Drosophila melanogaster: one gene and its partners. The protein of the gene in region 2 purifies or fractionates together with the protein of the main gene of each other region. This does not show direct contact. Each region holds a gene or a part of one and is shown on either strand. Other genes may lie near its edges.

Region 1 (5,062 bases), on a different chromosome or scaffold from region 2:
TGAACACATATATACATATATATATTTATAAGTCAGCCATTCATTACCTGCTCAATCGGCATATTGGTATCGGTTTCGGTTCTAAGTGCCTTGGTAATTACACAGTTGCCCGGTGGCAAGGGGCATTCGACTGGGTTTTTGGCACACCCATCATTTGCATATCGTTAACTGATGTTTGAATATTCATGGTTTAGGACCTTTGAATATATATTCATAACTATAACACCTATTTAAAGCGGCACCCGCAACTTTTGATCATCTATAGTTACCATATAGATATTTGCCTGAGCAAGGTCCCACTGTACTTACTGATAAGAAGTAATTTTCGGGGATTTTAGGCCTAGTTTAAATGCTAATAGGTAATGCTCCACTTACGATGGCAAGTGTGGAAACTTTTTTTTGGAATTGGAAACTAACCAGTTATCCAGAAATTTAATGAGTATAGCCCGATATCTGAGCGATTTGCATTGCAGTGCGGTTTAATCGCGCTGTACCCGATTTGAGGTCACCGAAGAATGGTGACATTCGCCTGACATTTTATTTATATCCAAACTAATCAAGCTGATACATTTTCAAGTCTATAATTAGAGTGGGTTGTGTGTTAGTGACACGTGTGTCGTCTGGCCCCAAATTCTGGACCGGAATTGCGACGTTTTGCACGAATGCCACTCTGTGGACCGACATAACGAGTCTTCATTGAACTGATTCGCTGAATAAGGATTGCTTTCGAGAGATTAACGAATGTATGGATATACAGATACGTCATATTTGGAAATTTGAGTCGCAAAAAGGGGATTATGTGATGGGATTGGAAAACTTAAGCGCAGCTTGGAGAGCCATTATCGGAAGCCAGTAGAACTCAAACTCGAACGGCTAAGGCCACCATATTGCACACGAAATGTACAAATGTATTTTATGGAACATTAAGTGTATGATGAATTATCGCACTACGATGATATAACCCTATGGGGCATCAGAAAACAAAGGGAACTCAAATAGGCGAAACAATTGTGCAATTTAAATTGAGCCGCACGGTAATGAGAACCACAAAGAGAGAAGTTCATTGTTTCAATCTTTCTGTGACGACAGCAACTAGCAGGTGCAACTAAATCATTGATCTAATACATACGTCACAAGTGGTTAGTATTTATGATTCCATTAGCGAAGTCATATTCGGCATTTGCAAGTTGGGATCATAGACTTATAACACTTACTACACTTCCAGACACACTCCATTGAGTTTTTTGTAGATATTTACTTTCTTGTTCCGCTCGGCGTACTCAACCAATATTTGATTTATGGCTCTTTTCGAAAAACATTTCAGATAACCATGGATGACAAATAGCAGGCGCTACAGCTGGCCCTACGTGTCAGGCATTGGAAAACATTATTGTATTAACAACTTTTCGAATTTTGAATTCCCCCCTACGTGGACTTCCGATTCCGCATTACTCAAAAATCACACAATTCCGTCTTAAATTCCATATAAATCATAAAAATGCAGCCCGATCATGAAGCAACTATTGTTTAAACAACAATTTAAGGTGCGTGAACGAAATCATTAACTTTTCTGAATGCTTATTCGCACTCTCACCATTTAGTTGGGCTATTATGTTTGCCAGTGACTTTATGATTTGTTTATATAGATGTGTATTATAAAATTTCATTGTCGTCATCGATGGCAGTGATAAGTGCCTCGCATGACGTTTTTGTTTGAATACAATAGCCAAAAGTCAGTTAATTCAGATCTTTGAACTGGGCTTGAAAAACAAAACTTTGCCAAAATCATTCAAGGACGATTTTAATCGTTATGTGGGCCATTCAACGCGTTCGTATAATTGCCGATTAATTTAATCACTCAACTAGCCATTATAAAGCACGGTTTGTTGGCTTAGTCGAAAATTCTAACAAATGCCTGATGGGTTTGGAATGACATGTTGAAAAGTCCGCGAGGAAAACGAAGAAACACACAAGACACACAAAAACAGGTAATGTCATTAAGAATTAACTTGCATCAGGTTGAATTAACTTGTTTTAGATACTGTGCGTTTTTGCTTTGATTAGCCGTTCAAATGCCGATCGAAAGGCCTTCGAAAGGTTATTGAATCGTAAAAAGGTTTGCAGTTAGCTGCAAACGAAACGTTCATGCGTGAGGGAAATAATTAGTAATTAAGTTAAACAAATTAAATAAAATGATTTGCAATACAAGGATTCATATTGAGTGGCTTAAGTACTGCGTTTTAATCTTAATTAAATAAAGGGGAAAATTTGACCTAGTAACATTATGAACCACTGGAGCCTTAATCTTCAATCTTCAAGTGGACAATAAAGGTTTATCGATTGCTCATAAAACTGGAAAGCATTGAACTTAATCTCGAAGATAACTCAAATATTCGTTATCATGGGCATTGTTTATTGCATTGATATTGAAAATAGATCTTGAAGTAATCTTCTGATGGAATTTCACTTGAAATACAGCGGCATTCAAGGCTCTTCAGTTTTAAGAATCATTTCACCTCTATATAGTTAAGTGCACTTAACTTGTTTTTGGACAAGTTCAGGGATACTGATAAAAAAAAAAAACTGATTGCCTCGTTGAAGTCAGCAGCTTGAAGTGCACATATAGAAAGAACTTAGAAACTTTCTTAGAAAGAATATAATGAAATTGATATTGATATTGATAAGATTAAATAGGTTTAGCAACAGAAAGTGTACATCTTCCAGTCGGGCTGGATCAGCTACTTTCAGCTATTCACTCGATTCCTAATGAAATTCACAGTTCAAATTAGCTGCAATTCATATTGGAATAAAAAAAAAAGTGGTTTTTGGCAGTGCAAAAACGAGACTTGAAGCGTTGACACTAGACAGCAGTTTATATACTATTCGGTGTGGGATTTCTGTCCGCAAGTCCATTTAAATTCTAAATACCCAGGGACCACAGATCACTGACACCGCAAGTCGCTGATCTGTGGTAAAAATAACGAGAATTCACGTTTTCAACGCGATAAAAAAAGCTCAGGGAAAATATCAGCAGATATGAGGGAAAACGACAGCAACCACAGCAATTTGTATTGAAAATTATAATTTAATTGCTTTTGTATATTCAGCTCGCGTTGTATTTTTCAGTCGAGAGTTACAAACCAAATTACAATTACTTGTAAAGGTACTTTTTCAGTTTCAAATTAATTTGTAGTTTGTTTTCGCATTTCACTCACTTTTATTATTGGCAATTTGCTGAGCTGACTACGAGTTTTTATAACTCGCTCACTATCTGTATTGTTTTGTGCACCAGATTACTATATGTATATAGATGTGAACGCGGACTATATACACTCTCGTTCCTAATCAAAAGCGCTGCTTTATCGCCATAAAGCCCCTGCGATGTTGATCGTTTGAAGGCAACGATCCGACTGCCTCGATCCAAGTGCCGGAGATTTAAATTTAAATAAGATTTTCGCAAAGATCCGCCCGGAACAGAGTTACCAAGTGTTCCCTTTGGGGGAAAGAAGCTGAAGCACAGCTGAAAATTGGCTAAAATCGTGTTTTCTGTTTGCCTTTTTAGTTGAGAACGCAAATAAATAAGATTTATTGATGCGTAAACTCTGTCACATTTGCATTGATTGATTGAGAAAATTATTGGGCAGTAGAGAGAATTATACAATTGGCGAAGCACTAGGGTCTCATTATATTCCAATATGGAAAATTTTGTTCATTTTGCCGTGGTGAAAAGGAAACCGTAAATACTTTAGCCTGATTTTCTAAAGCCTCGCTCTTCTGAAATCTCGAAAATAGGGCGATAAGATAGAATCACCCTGAAATGAATTGACGTGGTATTTAAGACCCTCACTAACTTATGATTGTTGCCAAAAACGATTATAAATAATTTTTGATTTGGAAGAAAGATTATTCATTATTGAGATAGGCAGGAAATTGGCTCTAAAGCAAATAAATACTATGTTATCTAAAACTAGTTTTGTTTAGAAAATTTATTCATATTTAAGGAATTGTAAATTAAAACATTTACAATGAAAGAATTTGTAGTAGTGTAGTCATTACTAATTTATTTTTTTACATACATCACAGCGTATTTTATAATGAATTCAAGTTCGTATGAGTTGGATTGGACTCAATTGCAAAAGAAGATATGTTCTCGTAATTAGAACTTGACGTTGGTTACTACTTGAATGAACGCATTATTATTAAAAGTATGAAGTGAGTATATTTCCCATTTCCGGTCAAATGAGTCCACTTATTCAAAACGTCGTATTATGGAAATGACGTATTATTTAAAATCAATGCAAAGGAATGAGTGTAATATCGAAATTGTTCTTGAAAAGTCTGACTTTTGTGCAGTGTGAGTAGTTTCTGGGGATGAGACAGCATCAGGTGATTCAGAAGGCTCGCCGTCTATCGCTCTATCTGGCTAAAACGAACGTGCCATAGCAGGACGGGCCCTTTATCAGTGTCAGACTATCTCGCCTCACCTGAGCCTTCGGTGACTGATGCACCTCCTAATCGCATACTGATTTAGTTTCTGCGAAGCCCAATGGAGCGCCCGGGAGTGGGAAAATCTGAATAGACACTTGGTGATATGCATGACAAGCTGAGTGTGTACTAAGTTCAGAAATAATGAAATCGTTCAACAGGGGGAGGATCTGTCTCAATTGATGCGATGTCAGTTGGTCTGTTGTTGTCTGGGCTGATAAGAAAAGTGACTGATAATGGATTAATTTGCGATCTAGCTGGGCTAGAGAGCTATAAACGTGACTGCCGTTTCTGCTCAACAGCTGGTTCCAATCTGATCTTAACGAGCTAATCCGTTTCACATTACGTATACGACATGGACACACCGCCAAGCAACGACCAATCGCAAATCAGCTCTGAAACAGAGAAGTGAATCTAACTGAGTTCGTGACAAACAATAAACGGTAACAAATGTCAGTTACATTTGCTTCGCTTATGACTGGTCAGGAGAACGCAAACTGTTAATATTAATAGCTTTTACATTTAAATAATCTAAATCGTTGTGGTTTTTTACGAACATAAATATAAATAATTTCTA
Region 2 (4,551 bases):
TTGCGGATGGCCAAGATGCACTGGGATTCGTTGAAGTACTGTCGCGGCAACCGGTTGCTGCAAGTGCTCCTGAATCTCAGCTTTGTGCTGCCCTTTATTCTGGTCATCCTGTGGATTCGGCCCATTAGCCGCGATTACCTGACGGTGCGCGTCTTCCAAGGAATGCAACAGCCACTGTGAGTTAACCTACTCACATTAAATTAGTTTTTACTAATTAACAAGTTCATCCCGATTATTTTTGCAGACTGAAGCCACACGTTTTTGAGACACTTCGCCTGCTGCTAGTGATCTTTGTGGTGGTGGTTCGTTTCGCCTTGATGCCCATATATCTGCAATCGTACCTGAATCTGGCCCACGACAAGATCATGGATCTGCGCAAGGAGGCCGGTCGGATCACCAACGTAGAGTTCAAGCAGAAGGTGGAGGCAGTCTTTATTTTATACAAACGTTCATCGAGTAAATCCTCCTTTCCCTTTTACAGATCTCGTCTATTTTCTACTATCTATGTGTTGTGACGCTGCAATTTGCTGCCCCACTGATCCTATGCCTTTATCTCACACTTATGTACAAAAGTCTGGGCGGCTTTAGCTGGTCGGGTATTTTCCGCGAGAGCGTTGTCCTGCAGCACGAGTGTGCGGCTAGCGAAACGGAAGGAGCTGGTGTTGCCGTTTCCCAAGGAGATGGTGACTTTAATATTATTGAGTCGGCGCAATCGCTGCAGGCTTCGTTTAGCAGCCTGAAAAACGTAAGAATCCTTGCTGTGCACGTCAATGCCAGTTTTAATCATAATTTCTTTTTCAGGTTTTCTCCACGGAGGTGTACAAGGGTTTCCTGGGCTTTGCCACCTGGTGGAGCTACTTCACCCTATTCGCCACTTCATCGCTGGGCATTGTCTACCAATCATATTTCAACAAGACCTAGGTTCATTTAAATCCCCGTCGTAGTATATGACTTTGTTCTTTTGTAGTGAATTTATACCGCACACGAAATTAATATTAGTTTCTACTCATGTGGCGAGTATCTTGATTTACAATATTTTTTGTAAATAATACTACCTAACTCATTGTTTATAAAGTGTGTTTTAAAGACTTTTAACCAGGCTGCCCGGAGAGTAACCAAAGTAATTACAAAAATAAATAAATAATCTAAAACGGAGATATGTTATCAAAACATGAACGAATGTGTGTCTCATCGTGATTTTTGGGTTCTGCACTCATCTAATATGTAATTCATTTCATACGAATCTATAACCCGATTCTACTTGCGAATTCGTCGAGCAACAAGTGATATATTCATTCTTACCATCTCAACTCAAATGAAAACTATAACTTTTGTTTATGGGGCAATTTCAAAACACCAATTTATTGAACCTCAAAGGTTGCGTATCAACTAACAGACCACAGGCTATGTATTTATGTTTAGAAGTATGTATATCGTTTGTATATCTCCAGTGGGTAGTGCTAAATAGAGTAGATCAGCACAGTGGCCGACATCGGAATAGATTATCGCTTAGACCTTGGCAATGCCAATAACGCCGCACCCGATGCGGGCACCAGCGTTGCCCGTTGACTTGCTCAGCTCGTGTCCACCCTGGCCAAGATCATCGGCATCGGCGTGCACGACAACGGTGCGTCCGATGATGCTGTCGGCGCCGAAGAGCGTAATCTTGGAGTCGGTGATGTTGACCTTGGTGGGGCAGTCGCCGGTGGCCTCAATGTTGCCCAGATCGCCCAGGTGACGATTCTCGTCGACGGGAGCGCCATGCTCCTTGCCATACGGATTGAAGTGCGGTCCGGACGACATGCAGCCATTGGTGTTGTCACCGAACTCGTGCACGTGGAATCCGTGCAGACCCTTGGCCAGGCCGCACACCTCACCGGAGACCTTCACGGGCGTACCGCTGCTCTGTGGACGGGATGAAGGGATTGGGTTATAACGCTTCAGATAATACTCGAATACTGATAAGACACAAGTTGTGTATAATAGTGAGCAGAAGCACTGATTATGATAACGAGCGTGGCCAACTTCATATGATAATAGGTTATTATAGAAAATAACATTTGTTAATAGACACACGTTAAACGGAAATATTTATAGGCAGCAAAGTAAACATTTGGTTATCTTTATAGATTAAAAACATAAATTTCCTCGGCACTGAAACATAACCTGTAATCATCAAGTTTATAATCGTTTACTTGACACTTGACATTGCTGCTTTGACTTTGATGTACAAATTAATTATGAACAGCATCATTCTAATTATTCCCATATTCCTAATGCTTATTCTAAAACAAATATTTGTTGATATTTAACGATACTTTACGAACAAGTGAGCTTTATATCTTAACTCCTTTTTATGTCCAGTACCAATTTCGTGACCTTTGCTGTAGGCACTTGAGCGCACACACATATGCGCATTTTGGTGCGGCTTATATAAATATAAAGGTGCACTTGCTGGGTGACTAGGCGTAAACTCAAATCGGACTTAATTAAAATGCTCGACAGAATTTAAAGCAGCATATTGAAGTGGAAGAGGGGGCCGCGGGTGCAGCCGGCTATTTGACCTTTAGAACTTCTGTTTTTCGTACATTTTGCCGAGCAGAGAAGTTCAAATGATTTTGGATTCTCACCTCCTGTTCGAAGAAAACCGTGCCCTTGGCATCGCCGTTAATTACGCAGACAGCTTTAACCACCATTTCGAATGAATTAATCAATTTATCAAAACGAAAAAAGTTGAGAACTTTCCAGGTATCTTCTATGGTGTGACCGTAGCAGAGCAGCTTAGAAATACATGCGGAACTTTTACTGTTAGTGTTCAGTTGTGCAAAAGTTTCGTTCACACTATTATGCCGTTACTGGAAGCATTTTTTCTTTGTAATATTTCAAGCTCATGTTTTATTGGGACATTTATTTACATTTTTAAGGATAAAAGCTACAAATTACAAAATTTGAAAACGGAACAATTTTACTGCACAAATGGCGTTGAATTTTTTGAGCTGTTCAACGAACGGGTGGTTCACTTGGAAGCCTTCCATTTATTCCAATGACAGTGGCGGGAACTATTCAATTTACTTTGTTTTGTATAAATAAAAAACGAATCCAGGAATTCCCCAATAAATGCCCAGACTTGATTGCGCTCCTGTTGACTAGTATCAACTAGTATTCATTCATCTATCTAATTCAATTAAAGCAGGTAAATATTAACAAATTGAAACAAGAAAGTTTACATTTGATTTTTGTTTTTTTTTTTAATACACAATTTGTCCAAACACTTAAATGGGATTTTCTTCATTAATAAGAAATAATGTGCTATCATTTCAATCTTTATATATTGTTATTGTATCCGTAAATTTGTAGATATTACTTATTTATTTTCATCATTTTTGTTTTTGTTTGTATTTTAATAATTTGTATATATATTAATATAGATATACATATATATATATACACATATATATATATATTATATTTAAATCGATATAGGTAAAGGTATGTAGATAGGTAATATTATTCATTCGCCTGTTTGTTTGTTTGTTTGTTACTTGTGTGGTTTGCTTGCTTGTTACTTAATTTTCCCCAAATTTTTTTTCACGTTTCTCGCACAATTCGGTCACATAGCTATAACATCTTAAACATCATAATCATCAATCATTACAATAATCAATCGCATATATCTAGATAATTTTGCTTTGTTTGCTGCTTTACCTTGTTGTAAACTTAAAATTTATTATATTACTTAGAGAGTAGCGTCATCGAGCATATTGAATTCGTCAGATCTAGGGGATAAAGTCGTTACTTCGAATCGGGTTTTCGAATTTTCAAAATGTGTGCTTGCATAAGTCGCCGCCGTTGAACGGCTGCATGGCCAACATTTCAAACACAATCATCTCACAGTTGCTATTTGTAAAATGTTCCATATCAATTTACATATACATTGCTCTTCGCGTGCGTTCATGTTCCTTAAGTTCTGCGTGTGTGGCTATTTAATTTGATTTGTATTTCGGGGTTTAGGTATAGGTTTTTGATTGGCAAATTCAATATACAAGATGGAGATACTTTTTTGTTTTTGCTTTCTAATCGTTTACACCCATGGGCCTCACTATTTGCCCTTGTTCTGCCGGTGCTTCTGGATCCGCACGCATCAGAGCACTTCCGACACATACTTGGGTCGCTTGGCCACGGTGGCATCGGTGGCAGTGGTGACGCACTCCTCCTCGCTGGCCTCAATGTGGCCGCTGTAGTCGGTCGGCAACTCCTCGTAGATAATCTCTGAATGCTGTTGCTGGGCCACGGCCTGCTGCTGATGCAGCGTATGCTGCGATGCCCCGCCGCCCATCACATGGTTCCTCTTTAGCGCAAGCAGAGCTCCAACCCCGCCGCCTCCGCCGCCGCCGCTCGCTGCGCTTCCTTCCACATGCGTCTGTGGTGTGGCCACTCCAGAGCTTTGATTGGTTACGTAGTACGGACTGCCACTACTGGAAAATACGAAAATAAATGTTTAAGACACGCATTGAATGAATCATTTTAATGTTGTGCTCACCTGTACTGATT
Region 3 (7,248 bases), on a different chromosome or scaffold from region 2:
CCAAGCAGAGTGTGGCTATCTAGGCGCCCACTCTCGCGTCTGATCTAAACTAATAACTAATTAATGTTTTTTTTTAAACTCTGCCCTTCGTCCTTTCGCGCCGCACTCGCCCACTAATTAACGGACACAAAGACACCAGGACGAGCCGCGGGAAGAGCCAGCGCAGTAGCGGGATGAGGAGCACGATCGGCGGCTGCAGAGGCGCCAGCGCTGCGTCAGTTGTAAATGAAAAAGTCTTACGTTGTTCAAAACAAAGGAGTTATTCAATACGAAAAATAGGAAAACCAAAATAAAAATGTAATAGAAAAAATATCACAACAGCGACTTATCAATGGGTTGGGTTTCACTATGGGTATATTGGGCTATTCCAAGTCGCTTGGTTCATAGTATAGCCATCTCGCTTTGTTTCGTGGCATCCAATCGGAGATACCACCTCGAAAGTGTTCCATACATACATATATGATTAATGCTAATTCCTTATAGAAGCTATTGAATTCTCTTTGCTGTTCATTAATTGATTGCATCAATTTACTGTCTTAATTTGATTTTGATTTGCTTGCGAGGATTCCTTAGGTCATAAACTTCAACCTTTTCGTAGCTTCTATTACACTTTATCACGCACTGTTTTTCCTTTGAAAACTAAAGTATAATTTATTACCCACTGATATATGTATCTCCAGGGTGCCATCGTTCGTAGCTGATTTATAGCCCTCGAGGGCAAAGATTCCCCTAGCAATGGCATTAGCAATTAGTCGGGTGGCTAACAAGTTGTCAGGCTGGCAGACAGAATCGATTTAGCCAGGTCAAGTCAAGCCATTTGCATGGCTAATGAACTTACTTGATTGAAAAGGCAGAGGAAGGGCTAAAGGTCGAGGTATGTTTTAAAGGAAATGCACAGAACTGAAACACAGAGGGGTTTGTTGGTGAAAAATTATATTCTTCAACCGTACATTTAGGGGATTTCATAGTTAATTTCATAGGTTCAAACAAATTCAAAATTTTGAGTGCATGTCGGCGGCGCAGCAGTCGTGGGTTGGGCTGGTCGCGCGGGTAGTTCCACTGGTGTCGTTCCACCCGCCATCGCTGCCCAGTGCCCCTCCCTTGCGCAGAGCTATTGTGTTGGGTGTTAATTGTGGAAACGAAACGGAACTATTGAACTCATCGATCGCTGGGCCGCGACAACAACCATTCATCTACGGGATTTCGGGTGGAGCAAGCGGCTTCGACACGTCCCAGGCGGCTGAGCTGCGTTCCCGCTTTAGCTGCAGCAGCTGGCCGGCGTGGGGTCCAGTCCGGAGCGCTTGGTGATGGCCAGCCGGGTGAATTCTTCGGCGGTAGTGGGATGGATGCCCACGGTGTTGATCAGCGTGTTAATAGTCAGGCCAGACTTCAAAGCGGCAGCGAATCCCTGGATAACCTCACCGGCCACCGGGCCAATATAGTGCAGTCCATAGACGCGCTGGTCACCATGGCGCTCGGCCACAGCCTTCAAGTAGCAGTAGCGCACGCTCTTCTGGGGAATGAAGAACTCCGTGGGCTTGTAGTAGCCGTGGAACACCTCGATCTCATCGGCTCCGAACTGCTTGACGGCATCCTCCTCGCTCAGGCCGACGCAGGCGTACTCCAGGGGCGTGAAAACGGTGGTGGCCACATCCTTGTAGTCCATGCGCTGGGTAGATCCTCCGTACAGGCGGCGGGCCAGCAAACGGCCAGCCAAAACGGCGACGGGCGTCAGCTCTGGCTTGCCATAGATGATATCGCCGACAGCGTAGATGTTTGCCACATTGGTAGCCTCCTGGGAGTCCACTGGAATCTTGTCCTTCTGCACAGTCACGCCGGCATTGGGCAGGTTCAGATCGTCCACCAGACCCTTGCGGCCGATGGCCCACAGAACGGTGTCGTAAACATCCTCGGCCTCCTCGCCGGTCTCCACGTTCTTGTACTTCACGAGCAGCTTGCCATCATCCTGCTTTTCCACGGACAGCGGCACCGTCTTGCGGAGGAAGGGAATGCCACGCTCCTCCATCGAGGCTGCCACCAGCTCGGCCATCTGCTGGTCGAAGCCACGCAGCACAATAGAACGCACCATCACAGTGGGCTCGTAGCCGAGACCCTTCAGGAATCCAGCGCACTCCAAGCCAATGTCTGAGTGAAAGAGCAGAAACCGAATGGGTTATTCATCAATTTGATGTAAGCAAATGAAAGTAGCTACTTACAGCCAGCTCCCACCACCAGGGTCTTGCCGGGCTCGCGGTCCAAACTGAACAGATCATCGCTGGTGATGCCATACTCGACAGCACCGGGAATATCCGGATAACGTGGTCGGCCGCCAACGGCAATGACGAAGGTCTGGGCGGTGATTGTGCGCTCGCCGCTCTTCAGCTTGGCCAGCAGTGTGTGCGAGTCCACGAAGGAGCCCAGTCCATTGATGTACTCCACTTTCCTGAGCGCAAATAGAAGGGTATAATTAGTGGGGATGCTCGAGCGGAAGCCATAGATATAGTCACACTTACTTGTCGCGCAGATCCACACGGGTCACCCAGTTGACGGACTTGATGTGGTTCTGTACGGACTGCACCAGCTTGTGCCAGTCTGGCTTGATCTTTTCGTCCACGTTCCAGCCGTAGGCGGCCGCCTCATGGACAGCCTCGCCCAGAAGGGAGGCCTGGTGCATCAGCTTCTTGGGAATGCAGCCCACGTTCACGCAGGTGCCGCCAACGCCCCACTTGGTGCCCAGAGTGGGCGTGGGCTTAACGAAATCCAGACAGGCCACACGGGCTCCATTGAGGACTGCCTCCTTGGCGCAGGCCAGGCCAGCTGAGCCGCCTCCAATCACAATAAGGTCGTAGTCGTAGGATCCTGCAGGAGAAAAAAGGTTTTCGTTTGATTCATCGCCTTTTGTCTATAGAAATATGTAATCTACTGCCAAAATTGGGCTTAAAGAGGTCAAGAGGTCACAGAACATGAGGAGCCGTCAGGAAATCTAATCGTAGCACAGCCAATTCACCTTGTATTATTAAAAACTTATCACCGTTAGTAACATCAATAGCCATGTTGTATTGGCATGGTCTGTTTTTGTTCTTAACCAGTATCTAGATTAGTTGAAAATCCTTATCAGTGATAGGTAATGATATCAATTAGCCATGTGGTGCCAACTACTCAAGTTTCTCTTTAGCTTCACTCATGATTATGGCTAATCCCCGCCTGCCTTTGGTGGACTCCTCGCGCAGTCGTATGTCCAGATAGGCGGATCGGTAGATGCTCCTCCGGTGGCGTGGTTCACCCTCGACCAACTGGGAAGCCGGTATGAATTCGAACAGATGCATCCAGACCAAAGAAGTGCGGAACGAAGACTGTTTGGCCTCCTGCAATCCGTAATCTGCACCGTGCAATCCCGTCGAGCTCCTTGGCTTCAGTTGCCAGGTAGCGATAGTGCTGCCGAATGCCACACATGCCACTGGGTCAGTGGGAGTTCGAATCAAAGTGGAGCAATCATCTAGCGACATCGCCACACACCAAGCCACGCCCATCCCAGCCCGGCCACGCCTTTCTTCCGTCCGTCCACCTACGCCCCCCCATTCGGTTTGCTTTGACCCGCCGGACTTTGTCATGGTTACGCCCCAAAACTAGTTGGCAACACCACACACAATTCGCTTTTATCGGACGGAATGCTAATCCTGGCCAGGAACAGGGGGAAATCAGGTGGCTACGTACGAATGCGAGTGCAAATAAACAATTGTTGTCGTCACACTGCAATTAATTGCGGAATGAAGTGGTGATGACGCAGCTCAGCAATGATGATGAAAGATCAAAGACGATGGCGGGCGCTCGTTGAGCGACGGATACGAGAGATACGAAATAGAAAACACAGATAAAGGGAATAAATGCACCCGACTGATATGGTGAAATCATCATCATCATCATCATAAAGCGATTCTCGAACATTCCGCAAAGGGTTATTCGTTCAAGAGCACCGCATTCGACAAAAATCACACATATCACGTTGGTGCTTTAAGAAATCCTATTATACCCTTAATTACCATTTGAAATCAGAATATGGCATATATTTATAAGTAAATTCTTCTATTGTTTTCGGAATTAGAAGCTTCGTATCTGCTCGATTGGCTAATTATTCATTTAACAAGAAAACTTGATCGTGGCATGTGGGATTTATATTATATTACAAATTAAAACATCAAATACGTTTAACTTCATATAAATAGATATTAGTTTTTTTTTACCAGCTAAAGGCAAAATGGCAATACAAGTGACTTGTATGAATGTAATTTAACAAATATTATTAATTCGTTAAGTCATATGATGTAATTCTTTTTTGAGGCAAATAACTGATATTGTTTAAGCTGCAATTGAGTAATGGTTTTATGAGCAATCCATAATTCAATTAAAAAAATTCGACTGACATAGTATTTATACGCGATTCAGAACTTTGTTGACCATTATACTTAGAGGATGTGCTCTTTTTGGCGCCCACAACGATGGCGCAAATCATGTACTTCAGCATGATACGAGTTTCGAGTGCTGTTCGCGCGACCCCGACTGTACAATTCCAGTTGGAGCGGGTGCGCGATGACGATTGACGATGACGGTGCAAATGTGAGACAGCAAATGCCGGGCAGGCATATAAACCCTTGGCGAATACGTGCCGCAGAAACCCGATAAGCCAGGTAATAAGAGCAGAGTAATGGACTTTTTGGCCAGGCAACTAACGGTTATTGCATAATGGCGTCGGTTAAACACAAGAAGACCCAGAAAAAACAACAAGCAAGAAAACCGCGACAATCGACCGCGTTGCCAACCGGCGGCAACAGGAGCAGCAGCTGCGGCGGCAACAGCAAAGATCTAATCAGAATATCAATCGATATCGATGCTCACCTCCTTTGGTGCTCATCTTTCGCACCGGTTGCGCGTACATGGCCGCCCTGTCGCAATGTGGATGCTGGAAGGGTGGTGGTGCGCCGGCACCGGATCCGGCTGGAGCATTCCCACCGGTAGCTCCAGTACTGTCGCGTGATCCTCGCTGTCCCGTCAAGTTCATAGTTCGCTGAAACGTGTGATGGGCACAGCTGAGACTACTGGAAATCCAATGGGGAACCTTTGTTGTCAGTGAGCCTCTGTTTTGTATAATGCCAGCCGAAGGAGACGTTAAAATCGTCGAGCACTGCCGCACGAACGTAACGGAGAATCTCGAATTGCACAAGTTCATCTTGTTGGCCTTTCCCCTTCTTCAACGTTTGGCGTTTCACTCTACCAGCTGGAGGCGAAACGAAACTATTCGCGAAAAGGGTGCAGAAAAATGACGGCGGAACACACAACACAAACACGTTCGCTGGTTCGGCCGGGAATGCTGCGAAAGCGGTGGGCAGGCAGAGGCGCCGATAAACGGCTACGTAACAGAAGCAGCGAGAAAGAGAGAGGGCGCAAGAGCGCGTACCGCAAAAACGAGAATGTTTGGGATAAAATGGATTTGCCATAAAGGAGCATCCATTGGATTGCGAAATTCCATTTGGGATTTGAACATCACAACAGTTGTTCTGCCCTTTGCCAATTGGAAATGTGCGAAACGCACGTTTGGCAATGCGCAAGTGTATCGATAACTCGCGGATGGTTGGTAACACTGCTGCTGTCCGAACGAAACAGCCGGCCGTCAAAATTTTTCCTAACATTTCACTATTTTCACGCTTGTGTTACGGCAATAAAGTCGATTGATAAGCACGGAAAGATCTGGCTGCGGGTCTGGTGAAATCCACAGAACACACGGAACCCGTATAGTAGTGCCGCCCTTTATTGGTTTTATCTCAAGTACGACGCGATAAGATTTCGAGCAACTCGATCGCGGATCTTCGGAAAAAAAAAACATGAACTCCATCCTGATAACCGGCTGCAATCGAGGATTGGGTCTGGGCCTGGTCAAGGCGCTGCTCAATCTTCCCCAGCCGCCGCAGCATCTATTTACCACCTGCCGGAATCGCGAGCAGGCAAAGGTGAGAGATGTTTTCTTCTTATTTTGCGTTGTCTCTCTACTAAGACAATCCAGTAATCCAACAAAACCGGTGACTCACAACCGTCGAGCTACAGAAACTACAGAAGCTACGCGAACAATCCACAAGAGCCACTATTTCTACAAACCGCTTTTTAATCGTCCAAATGGGCATGCATAAATTGAATGGTTCAATTGGAATCGAATTAACTGTGAAACTCACCTTGCACGGGCGCCATTATTTTGTTGCTTGTTGGTAGGTGCTCCACGTAAATCAGACAGAAAACAAGGATCAACGGCGGGTAGTGAATGTTGTTGTAGTCGAAGCGGAAATGTAAAAACTGCTAAGCGTGTATTGTAGCGGCTCTCGGCACTCGCGAAAGCACGAAACGAATAAGCGGAGCCAACTTTTGCAATAGCTTTTGTACTTTCGTACGAGCGTGCGAAAGGGAGACGTCGATTGGCTTGTCGATTGCTGGGCCGACTATTGTTCGGTCACACCAGCAGCACTTATCGTCTATCGGTTATTATGGCACTAACGCGCTCGTTGGGCGCGCTATTTAAACTCTCATGAAATACCAAATTTGCCTCTAAAAATTACAGTAATTTAACTGGAAAATTATTCATATATAAACTGCTTTTTTACTAATAATGTGCTTCTTATTCAAACATTTTGTCTTTCCCAATTTGGCCCACAGGAGCTGGAGGATCTAGCCAAGAACCACTCGAACATACACATACTTGAGATTGGTAAGCATTATGTTTTACCAGCCGCTAAACACTCTCGCATATAAATATATTTTCCGTGCAGATTTGAGAAATTTCGATGCCTATGACAAGCTAGTCGCCGACATCGAGGGCGTGACCAAGGACCAAGGCCTCAATGTGCTCTTCAACAATGCCGGCATAGCGCCCAAATCGGCCAGGATAACGGCCGTTCGATCGCAGGAGCTGCTCGACACCTTGCAGACCAACACGGTTGTGCCCATCATGCTGGCCAAGGCGTGTCTGCCGCTCCTTAAGAAGGCAGCCAAAGCGAACGAATCCCAGCCGATGGGCGTGGGCCGTGCCGCCATTATTAACATGTCCTCGATCCTTGGCTCCATCCAGGGCAACACGGACGGCGGAATGTACGCCTATCGCACCTCTAAGTCGGCCTTGAATGCGGCCACCAAGTCGTTGAGCGTGGATCTGTATCCGCAACGCATCATGTGCGTCAGTCTGCATCCTGGCTGGGTGAAAACCGACAT

Evidence for each region. Proteins that work in one complex are often made in the same cells at the same time.
Region 1: the proteins of Sod1 (region 2) and Treh purify together in Drosophila melanogaster (affinity purification with mass spectrometry, with the first as the bait; one large-scale study listed by BioGRID). This does not show direct contact.
Region 3: the proteins of Sod1 (region 2) and Trxr1 purify together in Drosophila melanogaster (affinity purification with mass spectrometry, with the first as the bait; one large-scale study listed by BioGRID). This does not show direct contact.

The regions. Positions count from the first base shown.
Region 1 is NT_033778.4:21,078,965-21,084,026, reverse strand, and holds the start of Treh (trehalase), read right to left. Parts: upstream 3,420-5,062; 5' UTR 3,156-3,419; intron 1-3,155. UniProt on the Drosophila melanogaster protein: Enzyme that cleaves trehalose to produce 2 glucose molecules that can be used by the glycolytic pathway.
Region 2 is NT_037436.4:11,110,944-11,115,494, forward strand, and holds Sod1 (superoxide dismutase 1), read right to left. Parts: upstream 2,798-4,551; 5' UTR 2,697-2,797; coding exon 2,631-2,696; intron 1,906-2,630; coding exon 1,510-1,905; 3' UTR 1,338-1,509; downstream 1-1,337. Other genes in the region: emei, read left to right, coding at 1-176, 245-419, 482-745, 802-921; FoxK (forkhead box K), read right to left, coding at 4,142-4,475, 4,541-4,551. UniProt on the Drosophila melanogaster protein: Destroys radicals which are normally produced within the cells and which are toxic to biological systems.
Region 3 is NC_004354.4:8,241,705-8,248,952, reverse strand, and holds Trxr1 (thioredoxin reductase 1), read right to left. Parts: upstream 5,372-7,248; 5' UTR 5,225-5,371; coding exon 4,894-5,224; intron 4,765-4,893; exon of another isoform or gene 4,523-4,764; coding exon of another isoform or gene 4,456-4,522; intron 3,566-4,455; exon of another isoform or gene 3,327-3,565; coding exon of another isoform or gene 3,209-3,326; intron 2,860-3,208; coding exon 2,514-2,859; intron 2,444-2,513; coding exon 2,217-2,443; intron 2,146-2,216; coding exon 1,259-2,145; 3' UTR 920-1,258; downstream 1-919. Other genes in the region: ND-75 (NADH dehydrogenase (ubiquinone) 75 kDa subunit), read left to right, coding at 1-23; sni (sniffer), read left to right, coding at 5,877-6,002, 6,697-6,748, 6,810-7,248. UniProt on the Drosophila melanogaster protein: Thioredoxin system is a major player in glutathione metabolism, due to the demonstrated absence of a glutathione reductase.